Linked DNA regions of Canis lupus familiaris. The protein of the gene in region 2 purifies or fractionates together with the protein of the main gene of each other region. This does not show direct contact. Links are inferred from orthologs where the notes say so. Each region holds a gene or a part of one and is shown on either strand. Other genes may lie near its edges.

Evidence for each region. The genes of interacting proteins can lie anywhere in the genome.
Region 1: the proteins of ESYT1 (region 2) and ATL3 purify together in Homo sapiens (affinity purification with mass spectrometry; 3 studies listed by BioGRID and IntAct, with this or other methods). This does not show direct contact. The link is inferred for Canis lupus familiaris from reciprocal best matches to the Homo sapiens genes ESYT1 and ATL3.

Annotation. Positions count from the first base shown.
Region 1 is NC_049239.1:53,810,876-53,821,337, reverse strand, and holds the start of ATL3 (atlastin-3), read right to left. Parts: upstream 5,940-10,462; 5' UTR 5,770-5,939; coding exon 5,724-5,769; intron 5,344-5,723; exon of another isoform or gene 5,238-5,343; intron 5,229-5,237; exon of another isoform or gene 5,087-5,228; intron 1-5,086. UniProt on the Homo sapiens protein: Atlastin-3 (ATL3) is a membrane-anchored GTPase that mediates the GTP-dependent fusion of endoplasmic reticulum (ER) membranes, maintaining the continuous ER network. It facilitates the formation of three-way junctions where ER tubules intersect.
Region 2 is NC_049231.1:800,959-810,922, reverse strand, and holds part of ESYT1 (extended synaptotagmin-1), read right to left. Parts: intron 8,761-9,964; coding exon 8,719-8,760; intron 8,549-8,718; coding exon 8,414-8,548; intron 8,288-8,413; coding exon 8,214-8,287; intron 8,098-8,213; coding exon 8,025-8,097; intron 7,868-8,024; coding exon 7,778-7,867; intron 7,605-7,777; coding exon 7,549-7,604; intron 7,136-7,548; coding exon 7,012-7,135; intron 6,924-7,011; coding exon 6,747-6,923; intron 6,628-6,746; coding exon 6,545-6,627; intron 6,250-6,544; coding exon 6,201-6,249; intron 6,076-6,200; coding exon 5,989-6,075; intron 5,879-5,988; coding exon 5,786-5,878; intron 5,556-5,785; coding exon 5,484-5,555; intron 5,311-5,483; coding exon 5,224-5,310; intron 2,014-5,223; coding exon 1,864-2,013; intron 1,534-1,863; coding exon 1,378-1,533; intron 1,260-1,377; coding exon 1,083-1,259; intron 920-1,082; coding exon 837-919; intron 711-836; coding exon 662-710; intron 571-661; coding exon 481-570; and 3 more. UniProt on the Homo sapiens protein: Binds calcium (via the C2 domains) and translocates to sites of contact between the endoplasmic reticulum and the cell membrane in response to increased cytosolic calcium levels.

The DNA of each region.
Region 1 (10,462 bases), on a different chromosome or scaffold from region 2:
TATATAGCTCCAAATCCAATCAATCTTCCCCCCTTTTTCTATTGATTGATTTGAGAGTGAGCACAGGGCTGAGGGTGCAGAAAGGAGAGGGAGAAAGAATCTTTTCTTTTTTTTTTTTTTTAAGATTTTTATTTATTCATTCATAGAGACAGAGAGAGAGAGGGAGAGGGAGGCAGAGACACAGGCAGGGGGAGAAGCAGGCTCCACACAGGGAGCCCGACGTGGGATTCGATTCCGTGTCTCCAGGATCAGGCCCCGGGCTGCAGGCGGCGCTAAACCGCTGCGCCACCAGGGCTGCCGAGAGAGAGAGAGAGAGAGAGAGAGAGAGAGAGAGAGAGAGAGAGAGAGAGAGAGAGAGAATCTTAAACAGATTTTGTACTGAGCTTGGAGCCCGACTCAGGCCTCAATCCCATGACCCTGAGACCATGACCTGAGTTGAAACCAACAGTTGCGGGCACCGCCTTCAGCCCAGGGCGTGATCCTAGAGACCTGGGATCAAGTCCCATGTCGAGCTCCCTGCATGAAGCCTGCTTCTCCCTCTGCCTGTGTCTCTGCCTCTCTCTCTCTCTCTCTCTCTCTCTCTCTCTCTCTCTCTCTCTCTCTCCCTTTCCCTCATGAATAAATAAATAAAATCTTTAAAGAAACCAAGACTTGCTTAACTGACTGCACCATCCACAAGCCCCTTACTTCCTTTTAGGAGTTAAATTCCTTTTGGCAAAGATTGTTACTCTCAAGTGAAGCAGAATGTACAAGAGAAAGGCCTTTCCTAACCCTCAGGGCCCAGCTTTACAATGATTGTGACCACATAAGTAAATCATTTTACTTCTCTGTGGCTCAGTTTCCTCTACAGGAAATGCTGAAAATATTTGGATAATTAAAAAGCCTTTCAACAGTTTATGTGGAAGCGACGACCTTTTCTCTAATTACCTTTTAAAGTACTGATTTACCCTTTACTTTTGGTAAAAACACAATCCAGACTAGCCAATAGGTTTAAGTATACCTATTCAAATAATTTCTGTAATAATTGCATTCAACAGACTGGCTCTGCACTAAAATGACACAGACAATCCAAGTAGAAATAAGGTGAAAGACTAACAGGTGAAACTAATTATCACAGGGAAGACTTTGTAGTGATCTGACCAAATTACAATATTAGCTCTTCTAGAATGACCTAACACTGAATTTTTAAGAGATTTTTTTTTTTAAAGTAGCTGCAAGGGTGTCTTGGGTGACACAATCGGTTGACCATCTATCTGACTCTTGGTTTCAGCTCAGGTTGTGACCTGGAGGTTGGAAGATGGGAGCCCCACAATGGGCTCCACACTCAGTACATGGTCTGCTTTGGATTCTCTCTCCCTTTCTGCCCCTCCCACTTGTGGGCTCACCCCCCTCTCCCCTCTCTCTAATAAATAAATAAATCTTAAAAAAGAAAAAAAAAAGTAGCTGCATAGACTAAATAAAAGTAGGTGAGACTACTGATCCAATTGGCCTTTTCAGTTCTATGGAAAATATAAATTCGGGCAGCCCAGGTGGCTCAGCGGTTTAGCGCCACCTTCAGCCCAGGGCCTGATCCTGGAGACTAGGGATCAAGTCCCACATCAGGCTCCCTGCATGGAGCCTGCTTCTCCCTCTGCCTGTGTCTCTGCCTCTCTCTCTCTCTCTGTTTCTCATAAATAAAGAAAAAGGAAAAAAAAATACAAATTCTAAGAAATAAATTCTATCAGAAAATAGGGGATCCCTGGGTGGCGCAGTGGTTTGGCGCCTGCCTTTGGCCCAGGGCGCGATTCTGGAGACCCGGGATCGAATCCCACATCGGGCTCCCGGTGCATGGAGCCTGCTTCTCCCTCTGCCTATGTCTCTGCCTCTCTCTCGCTCTCTGTGTGACTATCATAAATAAATTTTAAAAAATTAAAAAAAAAAAAAGAAAACATTATAGAGGGAAAAAGTTTAAATTCCCCTCAAATATTTGAAAAGCCCACCTGAACAGTGATAAATTCAATGAAACTAGTTAACTGGAAGCAGGTACAACTGCTACTTCAGAAAATTCATACAGAATTTAGTTGATCAATTCAACAGTATAGACCAGGGTTTCCCAACCTTGGCACTACCAGTATTTTATACTGGATAGCTCAGTTGTGGGGAACTATCCTATTCATTGTAGGATATTTAGCAGCCAACTCTGGCCTCTACCCGCTAGATACCAGTAGTGCTACCTCCTGCTTATAAGACCCCAAAATGTCTGCAGATGTTGCTAAATGTCCCAACACAGCAAAATCACCCTGGGTAAAGAATCACTGTGGTGGGATGCCTGAGTGGTTTAGTGGTTGAGAATCTGCCTTCAGCTCAGGGCGCCGTCCTAGAGTCCCGGGATCAAAAAAAAAAAAAAACAAAAAAAACAAAAAACAAAAAAAGAACCACTATGGTAGAGCCAGCCTTGGTGTTCATCTGTACTATTCAGAGAGCTCCACAAAGCAAAGCAAATTAACTACAGTTTCAGAAACATTTCACCAAGTAGAGTGTATGACTCAGGGTAAAGTTATGACCTGAGTTTTCCACTCTCCTTTTGAAACCCATTTACTAAAGGACAAGAGCAACACACCCAAAAACAGAAGCATACCATTTCAGGCCTTGTTCTCACTGGCAGTCTTTAAAGTTCCTAATTCAGGCAAGGCCAGAAAAAACACATCATATATGAGGGTAAGCTCTCAGCCAACTCAAACTGCTGGAAGTGGTTCCATTTGTCTCAAGGTGGGAGAATGCTTTTATATGCTCTCTTTTGTCTTAAGGCAGTAAGTATGCTAGTAGATACACGTACATTTCTTTGGCTGTTTCAATAAAAATACTTATAACCAACAAAAGAGAATATTGGGGGAAATTTACATTCTAATCAATTAAAGAGTTTAAGAGAAAACCTTTTCTCAATTCATCTGGCATAACATGTTCCTACTTTAGCACAGAATGCTGAACAAAACCACATTTCGTCAATTTTGTAGTGCTTTATGTATTTATAAGGTCAATTATGACTAAACAGTACCTAAGATTCAGAAATGCAAAGACCAGGCTGAATCTAAAAATGATGCCAGGCTATGCTATAGAAAAAAAAAAAAACTTTTTTTTAATAGAGTGAGTTCAATATTCATCTTATTTGACTCTTCCATAAAAATAAAAAAATCGCCAAAATCAATTTGGTTACCGGAAGGTTTTGTGTTCCAGATGAATAAGGCTTTAATTTGCAATATTTGACTTGGATTCCTTATCATTGCAAGACATTAAAAGTTAATCTACCTTGTTTTTTCACTGACTATACCAGTATAGTCTATTTCCTAACTGGTAATATATTTTAGCTGTGAAATATATCAATAAGTTCTATCTAAATATATGCTAATAAAAAACATTTTTTACCAATTTGCAAAAAGCATCAACTTCTAGTAACAAACACTGATATTATAAATTATACTTCCTATAAAGTAACAAATCGGGATCCCTGGGTGGCGCAGCGGTTTGGCGCCTGCCTTTGGCCCAGGGCGCGATCCTGGAGACCCGGGATCGAATCCCACATCGGGCTTCCGGTGCATGGAGCCTGCTTCTCCCTCTGCCTATGTCTCGGCCTCTCTCTCTTTCTCTCTCTGTGACTATCATAAATAAATAAAAATTAAAAAAAAAAAGAAAAAAAAAAAAAAAAAGTAACAAATCAATTCAAATGTAAGCAACCACCTATAGGAGAATTTTACATTACCATACAAATTAGAATTACTCAGGGTTCTTTTTTTAACTGTTGCTCCGCCACTGAAGGAAGTAAATCAGAATCTGTGGGTTCCATGCATTGTCAGGTTTTAAATATCACAGGTTATTTTAATCATGCAGCAGACCTGAGATTCACAGACCTACAGCAACTAAAGGCTTTTTTTTCTTTTAGATAAAAGCTTTATCCTCACTTTCCCCCTCGATGTTTTTTAGAGAATATACTCCTAAAACCTCAAAGAGAACTTGGGAAAATGTTTTAAAATTCAAATTAGCTTTAAAATGCAGCTATGTTATTTGAAGAATTTCTCAGCTCACAAGCCAATAGAAGCTTTAACAGGCATGCCTAGTCATTATAGGTAAATTCTTACACCATTCTCAAACAAGTTCACACAACCTGGGGTTCCCTATTTCATAGGAATCTTAATATGTAACCAAACTGTTAAATGACCTACCACTGGGGCTTAGGGGAGGAAGACAACTTTCTGTTAATTTCTTGCTTCTTACAATCCTCTATTATCTCATTTTAAAGAGAGCACGTACCCTTTATCCTAAGGTTCAGAAGGCATAGAAATGAAAAACACATGTGCTCCACCGCAGATAATATACATGTTTATCCTCTGTTGTCATTTTTCTTAATTTCACGATCACTCCAATAGACAGTAAGGGGTAGTTAATAAAACAATGTGCTGTTAATAGTAGTGTTCATTCTTCACTACACAGCATAGAAATCCTTTTCATCTAAGCCTTTCCTTTACAGGTGGCAAAGCAGAAACAGGGACTTGTAAACTACAAGCTAGTTTCTTTTCTTTTTTTTTTTAAGATTTATTTTTATTTATTTATGAGAGAGAGAGAGAGGCAGAGACACAGGAGGAGGGAGAAGCAGGCTCCCTGCAGGGAGCCCGACGTGGGACTCGATCCCGGGTCTCCAGGATCACGCCCTGGGCCAAAGGCAGGCGCCAAACCGCTGAGCCACCCAGGGATCCCCTACAAGCTAGTTTCTATGCAAAGTGGGGGGGTGGGGGGGAAGCCCTAATTGGAATTTCGGTTCACTGCAATGATGAACACTTGACACGGATTAAAACCACGTCGCTTTTCAGAAACTTCTGCAAAAGAAGACAAAACATGAGATCGCGGTTTTTTTTTTCTCCCTTTCACAAAACGGTCCACCCAACTTCGTACACAAATTCTTTGAGGGCTGGGATTTCATGTTTTCTTTTTCTGCCTTTGAATTTGGCAAGTGGAACTTTTGGCGATGTCAACAGCATACACGCTAAGCCAGAATAAAGCCAGGTTAAAATACTTATGACATGAAGTATCCTTCCATTTTTGAGGACTCTCTTACTTTTGAATTATCTTGCTGTCTTTGCATGTCCTCGGGAAAGCAACGGAACAACGGACGGTGCCAAACGTACTAAAAGAACTTCTTAAAAAGCAATTTAGGCCACATTCTAACTCGCCTATGGAAATTAGCGTGGGCTTAAAAATCAACTTTCCTAATTGTCGTCAGCGCCTCGAGGTCGTCAGGATGAAAATAAAGCTTCCAACACCGAGACGCTCCAGCACTTCGCCAAAGGCTGGACGTAAAAGCATCCACCTTCCCGCCGCCCGGCCCGGCCCGCGAGCCCGCGAGGTGCCAGGCGGGGAGGGGGCCGCAGCCCCGGAGCGCGCCCTCGACCCGGGCGGGGCCTGCAGGGCCGCAGCTGCCGACGCCGCCCGCCCGCCCCGGCCCTCCAGCCCCGGCCCCGGCCCCGGCCCCGGCCCCGACCCCGACCCGAGGGCGGCCGCTCCCACCGGGAGCCCAGGGAGGCACCGCCCGCGCCCCGCCGGCCGGGCCTCGCTAGCAGCACCGGCCCTGAATTCGCGGGCCCAGGGTACCCGCCGAGGGGCGCAGGGTCCCGACCCCGGGACGACGAACGAGCGGCGGGCGGTCTCCTCGGGGCTCTGGTCGGGAGGGCGGCGGGGAAAACCGGGCGCCTCACCTGCTCCTCCCGAGGCAGCCGCTACCACTCGCGGAGGGGACAACATGGAGCCTCCGCCTGCAGCAGAGGCCGCGGGGGCGCAGGGAGGGGCGGGCTGAATCGGGAACGAACCGGGCCCAGGAGGCGGGAAACGGGCGGGGCCTGGCCTCTAAAAGAGACTGGGGTGAAGGAGGGGCGCGGAGAGCTTCGAGGGAACGACCACGGGGCGGGCGTGCGAGGCGCGACGGACAGCGCTGGGCGCGGCGAGGGCGGGGCGGACCGGAGCGGAAAGGAGCACGCGGCCGAGTCCTGCCGCCGCCCGACGCGCGTGCTCGTGCGAGCAAGCGCGTCGCCGGCTACCTGGGACTGCACGCCCGCGGCGGCAGGCCACTGGGAATTGTAGTCCCACGCTCTGTGGCTGCCCCCGCGGGCTGTCCCTGTTCTGCGCACTCATCCGGGGCAGGGAGGAAGCGGAAGAAGGGAAGGGGCTTGGCGCGGCTCTTCGACGACTGAACTACAACTCCCAGCAGGCCATGCGGGGAGGGGAGGGGAGGGGGCGGGGCGGGCCGGCGAGCCCAGGCGGGATCCTATTGCGGAGACCCGCCCCGGGGCGGAGGACTTGGGATAACTAACCAGTTGGTAACCCCTACCCGCTGCGTTGTTCAGGGACCGAAGGACCAAAGGGAGGCCTCAAGCCTGGATGACGTGAGCGCTCTGGTTTTTAACGATTTTGACTTCACAAGGAGAGGAGGACGTGACTTCATTACCACCACCGCCAGTTTCGCCCCATAATCGCGAGCCTGGCCAAGCCTGGTGGTGGACCATCACCACCACTCTGATAGCTAAGACCTTCCAGTGAAACTCCTTCCCTAGGCTTTGTCCAGCCTAAGCGATGGCCGTGTTTCTTAAAAAGGGCTTGTTCTGGGCAGCCCAGGTGGTGCAGCGGTTTAGCACCGCCTTCGGCCCAGGGCCTGATCCTGGAGACCCAGGATCGAGTCCCACATCGGGCTCCCTGCATGGAACCTGCTTCTCCCTCTGCCTGGGTCTCTGCCTCTCTCTCTCTCTCTCTGTCTCTCATGAATAAATAAATAAATAAAATCTTAAAAAAAAAAAAAAAGGGCTTGTTCTGAAGCTACTTTTGCAGGTACACCCTATCTAAACTGTGTTAGGGCAATACAAAACGAGGTTCTCTGAAAATGCTTTTATTCACATTTCACATGCGACTAAGAAAATGTCAGTTGTGAAGAACTTTGTTATCTTGGATTTGTTGAGGTAGGAGCGGTTATCCGAGGTAGGTAGTTGGGGGCATCCATCCCACCATCACCACCATTTCTTGGCGTCACCATTCCCTCATTCATTACATAAATTATTATACTTTCTTCTGCCTGTTTTTTTTTAAGTTTGGTTTGTTTCTTTTTATTTTTTTTTTATTTTTTTTACTTTATTTGTTTGTTTGTTTATTTATTTTTGGTTTGTTTCTTTTTAAATAAACTTTGCCCCCAACGTGGGGATCGAATTCACCACCGGGAGATCAAGAGCTTGCATGCTCCTCTGAGCCAGCGAGGCGCCCCACTTCTGCCTCTGCCTTAACTATGACAATCTACTCAGAACCTCCTTCCAGCTACCTCCAGGCCCTGCCAAGCCTTTGAGCGGTTTTTGTTAGTTTGTTTTTCTTACTTCTGGAGCGATTGGGACAGAGGTGAAGAGAGATAATTCTGCCTTATCTTATCTAAAGAGATCCTATTTTGATTTCTTTCCCCCTGCCTTCCTTTCTCCCCAAACTCTCAAGATTACTTGAATACCCTCCTCTAGCCTTTAGATTTAAGAGTCGAGATTAGATCTAGTCCACTCTGGCCAGCAGGAAACTAGACATGAACATCAGGGCAAGTGCTGCCTGGAGTTTCACACTAGGTGTGCAGAAGGCAGGACCTACAAGATGTGACACAAGTCCAGGCCATTTTGTGGCATGCTCGGAAAGAGAGAGGGGCCAAAGGCCAATGACTTGTCACAATTGCAACACACTGTACAGGAATTTAAAACTGCACACACATCCCAGAATTCTCTAGTCCCTTCCCCATCCAATTTGATTAGACTTCTTACCATCCAACTTATGTTTTAAGTAAAACATAATCTTTTGGTTTCTCTTCCCACTAGAATAGGAATTTTTGTCTGTTTTTGTTCATTGCTATATAAATACACGGTGCTTCATATAATGCCAGGCAGATAGTAGAAATTCTTTTTTTTTATTTTTTTAAAGATTTTATTTATTTATTTATTTATTCACGAGAGAGACAGAGAAAGAGAGAGGCAGAGACACAGGCAGAGGGAGAAGCAGGCTCCATGCAGGGAACCTGATGTGGGACTTGATTCTGGGTCCCCAGGATCACGCCCTGGGCTGAAGGTGGCGCTAAACCGCTGAGCCACCCGGGCTGCCCAATAGTAGAAATTCTTAATATGTACTGAATGGACGAGTAAAGAAGGGGTATGTGACACCTAGCACTGCTCGTTCACTTTCTTGCTCCCTTAATATTAAGTCCCTAACTTTTGCTTTTTTTTTAAGATTTTATTTTTTTTATTTATTAATGAGAGACACACAGAGAGAGAGAGAGAGGCAGAGACACAGGCAGAGGGAGAGCAGGCTCCATGCAGGGAGCCCACATGGGACTCGATCCTGGGTCTCCAGGATCAGGCCCTGGGCTGAAGGCGGCACTAAACCGCTGAGCCACCCAGGCTGCCCTAACTTTTGCTTTTGGACAAAATACCCTGTTCTATTTTAAGGGCTCCCAATAGGGCTTCCTGTCAGGAAGTGACGGGAAACATTGACATTACATCTGTCTCGATATAATTTTCAGCACATCAGCCTTCCATACCTTGTAGAAGTGTTTGGCATTTAGAACAACACAGTACAAAAAAAAAAAAAAAAAAAAACACAGTACAAATTAAAGGCAGACTTTAGGATTAGTCACAGCTTAGATAGCAACTCCTATAAACGAGAAATATGTTTTGTTGTTAGTGTTGTTTCCTTCTCAAATAGCCAGGGTCATCAAAACAGTGGACATTCAAAATGCTTAATATGGACGGCCCGGGTGGCTCAGCGGTTTAGCATCACCTTCAGCCCAGGGCCTGATCCTGGGGTCCCAGGATCGAGTCCTGTGTCGGGCTCCCTGCATGGAGTCTGCTTCTCCCTCTGCCTGTGTCTCTGCCTCTCTCTCTCCTGTGTCTCTCTCTCGTGAATAAATAAATAAAAATCTTTTTTAAAAATGCTAAATATTGATAATACTGATCACAGCCTGCCTTCAGCCATCTCATTCTGAATTGAGTCATGTGATAAGACCAGATACTGAGCTTTCCTCGTGGTTTTCCCGAAGCGAGTGATATGTAGACATGTTCAATGGTTAAGACCACAGGGCTTGGAGTCAGACTGACTTGGCTTTGAATTCTGGCTCTGATGCTTACTAGCTGTGCAAACTTGGGTGAGTTAGTTAATCTCTTTGAACTTCTTTCATTATCTACTGCTAAATGCTTTTGAGTTGTTGTGAGTTAAATGAGATATAAGCATTTGGTAATTATGACTGATGCATGGGTAGTGCTCAAAAATTGGTAATTATATTCATTCTGGAAAGCCAAAACAAAATCATAAATATTCAAGGTAATCAAGTATTTTATGAAGCACAGAAATAACAAAATTGTTTTCTGCAGTGACATCCACTGTGACTCAGGTTCCAAAGCTTTCCAAAAATAGCTTTCCAAAATTGTTATGTGTCAGGCATAGTGCTCGGCAGTATTGCTTACATATGCGTAAGACACATTCCTGTCCTCCAGAGACTCACAGTCTTGTGGGGTAAACAGCCAAGTAAATAATTATCACTCACAGAGACTGTGCTGGGCCTCAGTTCAGCCTTTTCTCCTACTGCCTGCTCGTAGGATCCATGTTTAAGCAACAGGACCCTCAGAAGGGACAGACTGGACTACTGGCATCCTTGGGCATTATTTTTTTTAAAGATTTATTTATTTATTTTGGAGGGTTGGGGCAGAGGACGAGGGGGAAAGAATCTTCAAGCAGACTTCCCACTGAGTGGGGAGCCCCACATGGCACTGGCTCCCAAGACCCTGAGATTATGACCTGAGCCGAAATCAAGAGTCAGACGCTTAACCAATTGTGCCACCCAGGTGCCCAGCTGGGTGTCATTTAAATATCTATACCCGGGGTCCCTGGGTGGCGCAGTGGTTTGGCGCCTGTCTTTGGCCCAGGGCGCGATCCTGGAGACCCGGGATCGAATCCCACATCGGGCTCCCGGTGCATGGAGCCTGCTTCTCCCTCTGCCTATGTCTCTGCCTCTCTCTCTCTCTCTCTCTCATTAAAAATAAATAAATAAATAAATAAATAAATAAATAAATAAATATACCCTACTTCACTCCGTGTATAAAATGAGTTATTGACTTGGTGTCATAGTTTATAAAAAGAAAATAGAGTAGCTGGATGGCTCAGTCAGTTAAGCATCCAACTCTTGATTTCAGCTCAGATTATGATCTTGGGGTCATGAGATTGAGCCCTGCATCAGGCTCCACACCCAGCTAAAGATTATCTCTCCCTCTCCCTCTGTCCCTCCCCTGCCCTTCTCTCTCTAAAAACAAAAGAAAAGAAAAATAGTCAATAACTCATAGAGTGTTGTAAAGTTGGATATCAGGCCCTCAACATGATGGTAACACTAAAAACTCAAGACCTGCCAGCTGCTTCATTATTGTTATTAACAGCATGC
Region 2 (9,964 bases):
TCTGACTCTCATGAATAAATAAATAAAATCTTTAAAAAAAAAAATAGGCTCTGGAATTTAGACCTGGGTCGGCAGCTCCCTGCTCCCCCGCCAGCAGGCAGGGCCCAGTGTCACTGCCACCGCCACCCTCGTGGCCGTGAAAGGCCACTTCTTCCCGCCCCAGCACCACCACGGCCCTGGGAAGGGGAACCCGGAATTCACTATTCCAAATACACCCGCAGCATCGCAGCATCAGAGCCTGAGGCGGCTGGGGAGGCCAGGAGGGGGCGGCGGGGCTCACCGGCAGGTCCTCCGCACGCTCCACATACACAGTCAGCAGGGCCGCGGCCAGCTCGGCGCTCTTCTGCGTCTGGATCAGACTGTTCACCTGCAGCACCTGCGGGAGGACACGCGGCCTTGGGGGGCTGGAGGACACGCGGGGCGCACATGCCCTCGAGCAGGCAAGGGTCCTCCGTGATCCCTCTGGAGCCCCCCACCTACCTCCTCTAGCTCAGCAGCAGAGGCCCGGGGGGTCAGACGCTCCAGACGCAGGTGCAGGCGGCCAGATGGCACATCTTCCAGGGTCAGCCACTGTGGGCGTGGGTGTGGGCAGGCTTAGACTTGGGGGTGTGGGGACAGAGGGGCTAGGAGGACGAGCCGCGGGTTCTAAGTCCTTGCTCACCTCGTCAAGGAAGCCGGTGTTCAGGACCGCGGTGAGACCCACTTTACACCTGGAGAGGAGAAAAACCAAAACCTGAGGCCCGCGGTCGGAGCTGAGTCTCTGCCTCCCCAGAGCCAGACTTCTGTGGCCTCCCGACGCCCAACCAGCCTTCCCCTCTGGACTTCTGTCCTCTCACCTGCCCAGAAAGTCATCCTTGTCCAGGTCCTTGTCAAAAACCTCAAGGTCTAGCTCTTGGCCTGGAATTGATGTGACAATTACCTAGCAGGATAAAATAGCAGAGGCAGATTTTTTTTTTCTTCTTCAAATAACTGGGAATGTCCCCCCTCAATCACCTGAACCCCAGAGGGCTTTTGGACCATTCTCAGAGCTAGAGGAAAGAAGGAGGAAGGACTCCGAGGAGTCCTAGCCATTCAATTCTGACCTCAAACACCTCGTTCCAGCGGGGATTGAGATCTTCCCGAACAACACGGCTCCGGAAGCTTTGTCCTGCCAGCTTTAGTTTGACATAGGGGTCTGACTTGCCTTTCACCAATCCCCCCAAGAAACGGTCTTTGGCAATCAGGTCCTGGGCCTCTAATACATGGATCCGAAGCACATTCTGCAAAAGGGACAGATAGGGGCACCAGATGGCAGTCAGAGAGAAACCTGCCAAAACCAGCCCTGGAACAGGCTTTGCAACACTTAGACCCTCGCCAGTGCTTTCCAGATAGACTCACCTCAGTCCCAAAGTGACTATCAGGAGTAGTGCGATAAGGCCGAGGCGGGGCATCCACGCTGCTGCCTGTCTGGGGGTTCTCACTGTCTGGGTCCCAAGCACCAGGACTTCCAGGCACAGTGGGAAAGTGCACTCCTGATGAATCCAAGTACAAGATCTGGGAAGGGTGGTGTAATTGTGCAATCAGAGAAGTGCAGCTAGACACCCGCAAGCAAGGTCCGTGGGGGTTGGAGGCGGCGCAGAGGCTCTGATGGGGAAAACAGGTCCCTGCCTTGGCTGGGCTAATCTCTAGAGGGTTCCCCCGACACTCATCCTACTCATACACCACTTCTTCCCCGGTTTGGGCAACAAACATTTTTTGTGTGGCTGCTGGGTGCTTCCACATATACTAGCTCATTGGATCTTAGAGGATTTCCTCCTCTTTAGTCTTAATAGCAAGGAATCCACGAGGCCCCTCCAACCCTCAGTGCGTGCTCCGTCTCCATACCCTCATAACCAATTTCATGTAGAGCCTGGAGTTGGGGCCAGAGCTGCTGAGCTGGAACCACTGGTCCAAGGTGAGTTCAGGGGCAGTCAGCAGGCGAGCCAGAGGCACAGTCAGTGCCCCTAAAGTCAGGGCCCTGGAGTCATCCTTCACCTAGAGCCCAGGAAGAGGGGATGTAGGGAAGAGCAAAGGAAAAAGGAGGGGCGCCCAGGTGGCTCAGTTAAGCATCTGCCTTCAGGTGGAATCCTCGGATCCCAGCCATTGGGCTCCCTACTTGGTAGGGAGTCTGCTTCGCTCTCTGTCCCTCCCCCTCCTCATTCTCTCTCTCAAAATCTTAAAAAAAAAAAAAAAGTAGGGAAAAGGAGAAATACTGGGGAAATCGTAACATGGCTCCAGTTTCACTTTTGCTCCACCAACCACACAACTTTTGCTCCACTCCAGCCAGGTTTTCTTATGCCTATTCCGTGGTCCTTTCTGCCTTTGCTTATCCTGTTCCCATTAAGTTCTCATTCTCCTCCCCTCAGACTATTTTTTTAATTTTTAAATTCTTTTTATATTATTATTTTTTTAAGATTTTATTTATTCATGAGACGGGGCCGGGGGAGGGGAGGCGCAGAGACATAGGCAAAGGGAGAAGCAGGCTCCATGCAGAGAGCCCGACATGGGACTCAATCCCAGGTCCCCAGGATCAGGACCTGGGCTGAAGGTGGCGCTAAACCGCTGGGCCATCCGGGCTGCCCTAAATTTTTATTATTTTTTAAAATTCCCCTCTCTGGGGATCCCTGGGTGGCTCAGCAGTTTGGCACCTGCCTTTGGCCCAGGGTGCGATCCTGGAGTCCCAAAATCGAGTCCCGCATTGGGCTCCCTGCATGGAGCCTGCTTCTCCCTCCGCCTGTGTCTCTGCCTCTCTCTCTCTCTATCATAAATAAATAAATCTTTAAAAAAAATAAAAAATAAAATAAAATTCCCCTCTACTTAAATCTTATTTATCTTTTAAAGCCCATCCTTCACAAAATCTCTAGTTACTCAAGCCTCTGCAGCTTTTTTTTTTTTCGGCCTCCGTACTTTTTTTTTTTTTTTTTAAAGATTTTATTTATTCATGAGAGACAGAGAGAGAGAGAGAGAGAGAGAGAGAGGCAGAGACACAGGCAGAGGGAGAAGCAGGCTCCACGCAGGGAGCCCAATACGGGACTCGATTCCGGGTCTCCAGGATCACACCCTGAGCCAAAGTCAGGCACCAAACCACTAAGCCACCCAGGGATCCCCTGGCCTCCGTATTTTTCTTTGGCGAGCCTTAGCACTACCCTATGGACATTTTATTCCCATTAGTTAGTTCATCATCTTTAGATGGCTTTATACATGTGTCCAGTCTATGAAACTAGCCAGTAAGCTTCATGAAGGCGGATACTATTCCATGCTTTTTCTGTGACCTTTAAGCTTCTAGGTGTCTGCAGGGCTTCTCCTCTGGCATGTTTAATTGTGATGTTTATTTACTTTTTTTTTAAAGATTTATTTATTTATTTATTTATTTATACATACATACATACATACATACATACATACATACAGGCAGAGGGAGAAGCAGGCTCCATATAGGAAGCCTGACGTGGGACTCGATCCCGGGTCTCCAGGATCACACCCCTGGCTGCAGGCGGCGCTAAACAGCTGCACCACCGGGGCTGCCCTAATTGTGATGATTAAAAGACATCTTTGGGGATCCCTGGGTGGCTTAGCGGCTTGGTGCCTGCCTTTGGCCCAGGGCGTGATCCCGGGGTCCCGGGATCGAGTCCCATGTCTCTCTCTCTCTCTGTGTGTCTCTCATGAATGAATAAATAAAATCTTAAAAAAAAAAAAAAAAAAGACATCCTTGCAGTTTAAGATGACACTTCTAAAATAAAATTCTCTCCTGATCACAACTTGAGCCCTGCCACTTGATGGGAGAATCAGCAGAACCTGTAGGATCTTTTTTTTTTTTTTTTTTTTAATTTATTTATGATAGTCACACACAGAGAGAGAGGCAGAGACACAGGCAGAGGGAGAAGCAGGCTCCATGCACGGGAGCCCGACGCGGGACTCGATCCCGGGTCTCCAGAATCACGCCCTGGGCCAAAGGCAGGCGCCAAACCACTGCGCCACCCAGGGATCCCTGTAGGATCTTATTTGGGATCGACATTCTCTATTAGAATTTGTTCCTACATTTATTTATTTATTTATTTATTTATTTATTTATTTATTTATTTATTTATTTATATTTTTAAAATTATTATTATTATTTTTAAAGGATTTTATTTATTCATTCACGAGAGACACACACACAGAGAGAGGCAGAGACACAGGCAGAGGGAGAAGCAGGCTCCATGCAGGGAGCCTGACGCGGGACTTGATCCCAGGACCCCAGGATCATGCCCTAGGCCAAAGGCAGGCGCTAAACTGCTGAGCAACCCAGGCGTCCCTTGTTCCTACTTTAAAATTTTCTTTTTTGTTTCAGTGGAAAGAAGAGAGGGCACTCAGTTTCATTTTGTTTTTAATTAATTAATTTTAAGATTTTATTTTTAAGCAATCTCTATACCCAAGGTGGGCTTGAACTCACTACACAAGATCAAGGGTCTCATGCTTATGGACTGAGTTAGGCAGGTGCCCCAAGGATGCTCAGTTTTAAATGTTGAAACCTTTTTTTTTTTTTTTTTTAATCTTATTTAGTTGAGAGAGAATGAGCAGCGGGGAGGGGCAGAGAGGAGAAAGAGAAGCAGATTCCCCACTGAGCAGGAAGCCCAATGCAGGGCTCGATCCCAGGACTTGAAGATCATGAGCTAAGCCAAAGGCAGAGAGGTCCAACCGATTGAGCCACCCGGTGCCCTCAAATAAATGAAATCTTAAGAAAAAAGTTGATTACATAATCTCCGCTCCGAACATAGGGCTCGAACTCACATCCCAAGATCAAGAGTCACATGCTCTTCTGACTGAACCAGCCAGGCACCGCTATAAAGAATGATTCTAGGGACACCTTGGTGGCTCAGTCCATTGAGCCACCAACTCGGTTTTGGCTCGGGGCGTGATCTCAGGGTCTTGAGGTAAAGCCCTAGAGTCGAGCTCTGCACTCAGCAGGGAGTCTGCCTGAGATTCTCTCTCCCTCTGCCCCTCCTCTCATTCACACACACACACACACACACACACACACACACATATACGCAGCCTCTAAAATAAAAAAATAAATCTTACAAGGAAATACGATTCTAGAGAGATGACTGGGGAAGATGGGGAGAGTCTAGGTAGATGGACTGGAATATGATCAAAGAGGGACATGGTACGACCTGGGAAGGCAAACGGAACACCCAGGAGGGGCTCAGTGAGTTTTTATCTCACCTGCACATCGAGCTCCTGGCTTCGAGGGTCTTGTAGGAAGAACCGGAAAGCCTCCTCCCACACCGGGGAGTTGGTGCAGTAGACCGCCTGTGCAGGAGGGGAGAAGGGTATGCGCTGCGGCACCATTCCTGTTTCTTCAGAAAGACTTTGCTTTCACAGGCCGCCTAAAGGGGAAACTTCATCCCAAGAACAGTCCTCCCCAGCCAGATGTGCATGCACGTGCGTGCACACACCTCCCACCATGACACCCCGGCCCTCACCTTGCTCTCCTGGGTCATATCCTGAATTGACAGCTGTACCACGGGGTTGGGCTCCCTGTTCCCCTTCTTCAGCTGTGGGGGCAGAATTGAGAAGTCACCATCTTGGGTGTTTTTGGTTTTGTCCCAGTGAAGGAAGGTGGGCTCTCATCAGGATCTTTTCCCTGAGGTGGCTCTGATCCCCTCCTGGGACCCCTGGCATTCCATGCTGCTGCTTCTGAAGCCACGTGGGGAGGGACAAGAGAGGACGTGGGGATGCTGCGTCCAGAGCTTCCTGTTCAGCCGCCCTCGGGAGCCACACTCACGGGAAGATCTTGGGCCCGGTCCAGATAGACAACTAGGATGGCAGCTGATGGGGGCTCTGGTCGGGAGGACATGCCGCGATTCCACTGCAGAACCTGGAGGGCGGGCGGGGGTGGGGGGTGGTTGTCACACCCTCGCCCCTAGTCCTACACTCGCAGCCACCTCTTTCCCCCCTGTTACCTTCCCACCTTCCCATGTCCCTTACCTGCTCCAGTTTTTCTGCATGTGGCAAAAGCGACAGCCATTCTAGCCTGAGGTGGACTTGGCCTAGCCCACCTTGTAGAGGAAACCACTGGAGGGAGAGCAGAAAGTGAAGGGTGAGGGATCAGACATTCGCACAACCTCTTCCCCCAACGTAGCGATGACTGTCAGCCCAATGGGTGAGACTACCCCCCCCTTCCTCTTCTCTCAACTTACGTCATCCAGGACTCCAGCCTGTAGTACCTTCCCTACATCCAGCTTCATCCTGGAGGGGGCGGGGAGGAGTGGCAGTGAGCAGAGGAAAAGGAGAGTGTTGTCATTAGTAGCGTGTCATTGGCCCTCCACTCCCCCGCCTAGAAATAAAAGGCAATTCTCAGACTCCCTTCTTCTGTTCAGCAGATATTTGCGTGCGTGTGTACACGCGTGTGCGTGATGGCGGCGAGGGTGGGGAGGTTGGGAAGGAAAGTAATATACAATTCCCAGGCCTGCAAAAGGATTAGGATTACCTCTGTGACCCTGGTAGCACCGAGGCTTTAGAATCCTAACAGGCCGAGGCTCACCTGCCCAGAAAGTCATCTTTGTCTGGATCCTTGTCAAACACCTCCACCTCAATCTCCTGGCCTGGGACCTCGTGTACCATCACCTGAAGGACACACGGGAGAAGGGGCTCAGGGGCTACATTGTGAGGGTCCCTCAGCACCTTCCCACACAGCCTCCCAGGGCCTCCCTATTTGACACGGCCCCACTCCTCAGGTCTCCCACCTCGTAAGTCTCCCCCCACTGGGGATTGAGGTCCTCATCGATAACTCGACTGCAGAATGCCTGGGTGCCCACTCGCACGAGTGCATAGGGGTCTGACTTGCCCTCAATCAGGCCCTTCACGTATTTGTCTTTGGAGCCCAGACCTCGGGCAGCCAGCAAGTGAATCCGAACAATGCCCTGTGCAAAGCAATCCGATCATGAGAACCGAAGGAGCGGGCACAAGGTCCCCGAGAGAAGGATCTATCTGATGGGGGAGAGGCCGTACCCTGGGAAGAGGGGAACGCAGCTGGGCTGCATCACGAAGGTCAGGCACTAGTGGCACCAGTAACCGGTTGGGCAACACAAGGAAGGCAGCGATGGAATCCATGATCATGGTGTCAGAGAGGGAGCTGATGGGGGAACAGAAAGGAAGGTGTGTGTCCCCAACGTCCAGAAGCCCCCCACCCCCAGCTCTGTTGCCCACAACCAACAGAGCCGTAAAGCTAGAGGAACATCCTTTCTTGAAGAGCTTTTTTGGCTGCTCTCCTACCCTCACTCCCCACCTACTGCTCTGAACCTTTGCTGCCACCCCAGCTCGCCTTTTGCTTCTACCCCTATGGAGCGGAGCAGCCTGCAACCCTCTTTGCTCCCCACCCAAATGTGTGCTCCCCGACAGGACGAAAATCACAGGGGGGTTTGTCATCTCTCCAGCTAGGATGATCAAGACTCCCAGAGGGTGCTGGCTACATCTCTTACTGTTTTGTATCCCAAAAACCGACAACCAAGGGCTGGAATACTTAGGGGCTCCATAAATCCTTGACACCTGAGTCCTGGGATATCCAGCAGGTTGGTCATCCCTGTCCAGTTGATATCTAGGGTCTGGAAGGAAGGGGCAAGGGGAATCAGGACAGGGCACACGGTGGCCTGGTCACACCCATCCAACAGTTGCCAGATCCCTCAGCCTCTCCTCCCCCAAGCCCCAGAGCTGGCCACCCTGTTCCTCCCAGTCCTCTATTTTCCCCTTCCCCATGCCCCTCAGTGTCTTCCCCTACCGGGCGTCGGATGAAGAACATCGACACAGCCCCCACGATGGGAAGGTCCCCGATGAGTGGCTCGAGAATCACCCGCAAGACACCATGTAGCTGGGAAGAGAAGAGCAAAGCCTTTCTCCACAAAAGGCCTTCTTTCCATCCCGAACTGCCCCAGCCTTGGTTTTTCCAATTTCCCACTTCCCCATATCCGACGAAATTTAGGGCAAAACAAGGCTCCCTATTATGGGGGCCCCTGACATTTGCCCACCTGCATGCCTTTGACTCCTGCTTTGCAGAAATATTTCTTCACTTCCACATCAATCTGCACGTCACCTACGTAGCTGGGGGTTGACGGGAAGAGAACAGAGAGAGTTGGTACTAGGCTGAGGCGGGGAGGGGGTGAGGCAGGCAGTGACCAGGATGGCGAAGGGGGAGCTGCGACAGTGAGTGGGATTACCTGATGCTCAAATCCAACAGGATCTGCTCTTTGCTCTGGCCAGCATGAACCTTGACTCCTACGATGCGCAGCGGCTGCGGAGACAGGACTTCTCAAGAGAGAGAAGAGGGAAAGGGAGGAGTAGCTGAGCCCCTTTCCGGCTGGCCAGCCCCCCCGTCCTGCCTCCTCCCTCCCGCTACTTTCCTTCCTACCACACACACCTTCTCACCCAGTTCCACTCGTGTAAATGTGAATGTTTGCAGGTGGGGGTTAGAGCCTCGAACAGCGGGGGCCACAGTTTCAGCCAGAAGCTTCTCCATGTACTGGCCCAGGAAGGGCCAGACCTGGGCCACAATCTGGAAGGAGAGGGAACCTGTCACAGGAGAGCCTGATCTTCTCCCTAAAGACAAGCTCCTTAGAATCCTCCCCACAGAGAGCACAGGGGCTACCCCTGGGGTGTGCAGCGTCTGGCTGGAGATATGAACCCCGTTCCCTGCTTATGAAACATAAAAGAACCAACCCTCACCTTATTTAGCCACTCGGCCTTTTCCACGTCTGGAAAGCTGACCTAGAGGTGAGGAAGGGAGAGAGGGATGAGCACCCGCCACCGGTGGTTTCCTACTGAGATGCTGGAGGCGCCCACAGAGGAAAGGAAACAAGGTGTGACAGGACCTTGGCACGCCCAGGGGCTGGAGGGGAGGGGCTGGGATGCCCTGAGCAGTCCCTCCTCCAGGGTTTCGGGGTGCCGAGGTGTGATGGGGGTACCCACACGGTGTGGGCCCCACAGAGTCGTTCTGTGGACAGCCGGGGATGTGGGGATGTGGGCCGGGGACAGCTCCGGGGCGCACAGGGGGACGGCGGGCGGGCACATTCTTGCTGGACAGGGAGGGCCTGACCAATCAGAGTTTAAGGAGGAAATCCTGGGGTGGCGAGATCTCGGTTCCGTTTTGCCCCCTTCCCGCCTCGCTACCTACTGGGGCCTCTTCTAAGCCCAGAAGTCAGAGGAAAGCGGCTCCTTGAGTTAGGGAGGGAGACGAGCTACCGGGCCTCAGCCGGGTCGTCGTCGTCTTTTTTTCTTTGGATCAGTGTGACTCCTTTTATGGGAAAGGACACCTGTGCTCCACACTGGGGAGGAGGAGCGGTGCTTCAGGGACAAGGCTGCTTCCCGCGGCGAGGCGTGGGGGCCGCGGGGCTGCAGTGCCCTGGGACGATCGCGCCCCCCCTCCCGCCTCGGCCCGCGCGGCGAGGCCCCGCCCGCCCGCTGTCGGCTCGGATTCCGCTCTCGGGCCGCAGACCCGCACCCCTGCCGGGAGGGCGGCGGCCGGCGGGCCGGGAGACGGGCGGCGCTGGGGGTGCGCAGTCGGGAAGAGGGTGGGGCCGGCCGGGCGGCCGAGCGTGGGCCGCGGGCGCCCTCCCCTCCCTCCCCCCGCAGCGGGAGCCCTCCCCCGCCGCAGCTGCGCCCTCCCCTGCCCTCCCCCCGCCCCCCGGCGCTGTGGCCCAACCGCCAGAGGCTGCAAGGCCAGGGCCAGGGCCAGGGGCGGGGCGGGGGCCGCGGCTCCCCCGGCAGTGCTCCCGCGGCTGGGTCCCGGCGGGTACCCCGGGGGAAGAGCGGGAAAAGGAGGAACCTCAGGGCCTTAAACCGCAAACGATGATAATACAGAAAAAAGTCTGCAGGAGGACGGGAGAGAGGAGGGAGCCCTCGGAGCCCCACGCGCCGTCCGGGAGCAGCGGGGAGCGCTCGGGCGGCTTGGCTGGGGGGGGCGCCCCGGCCG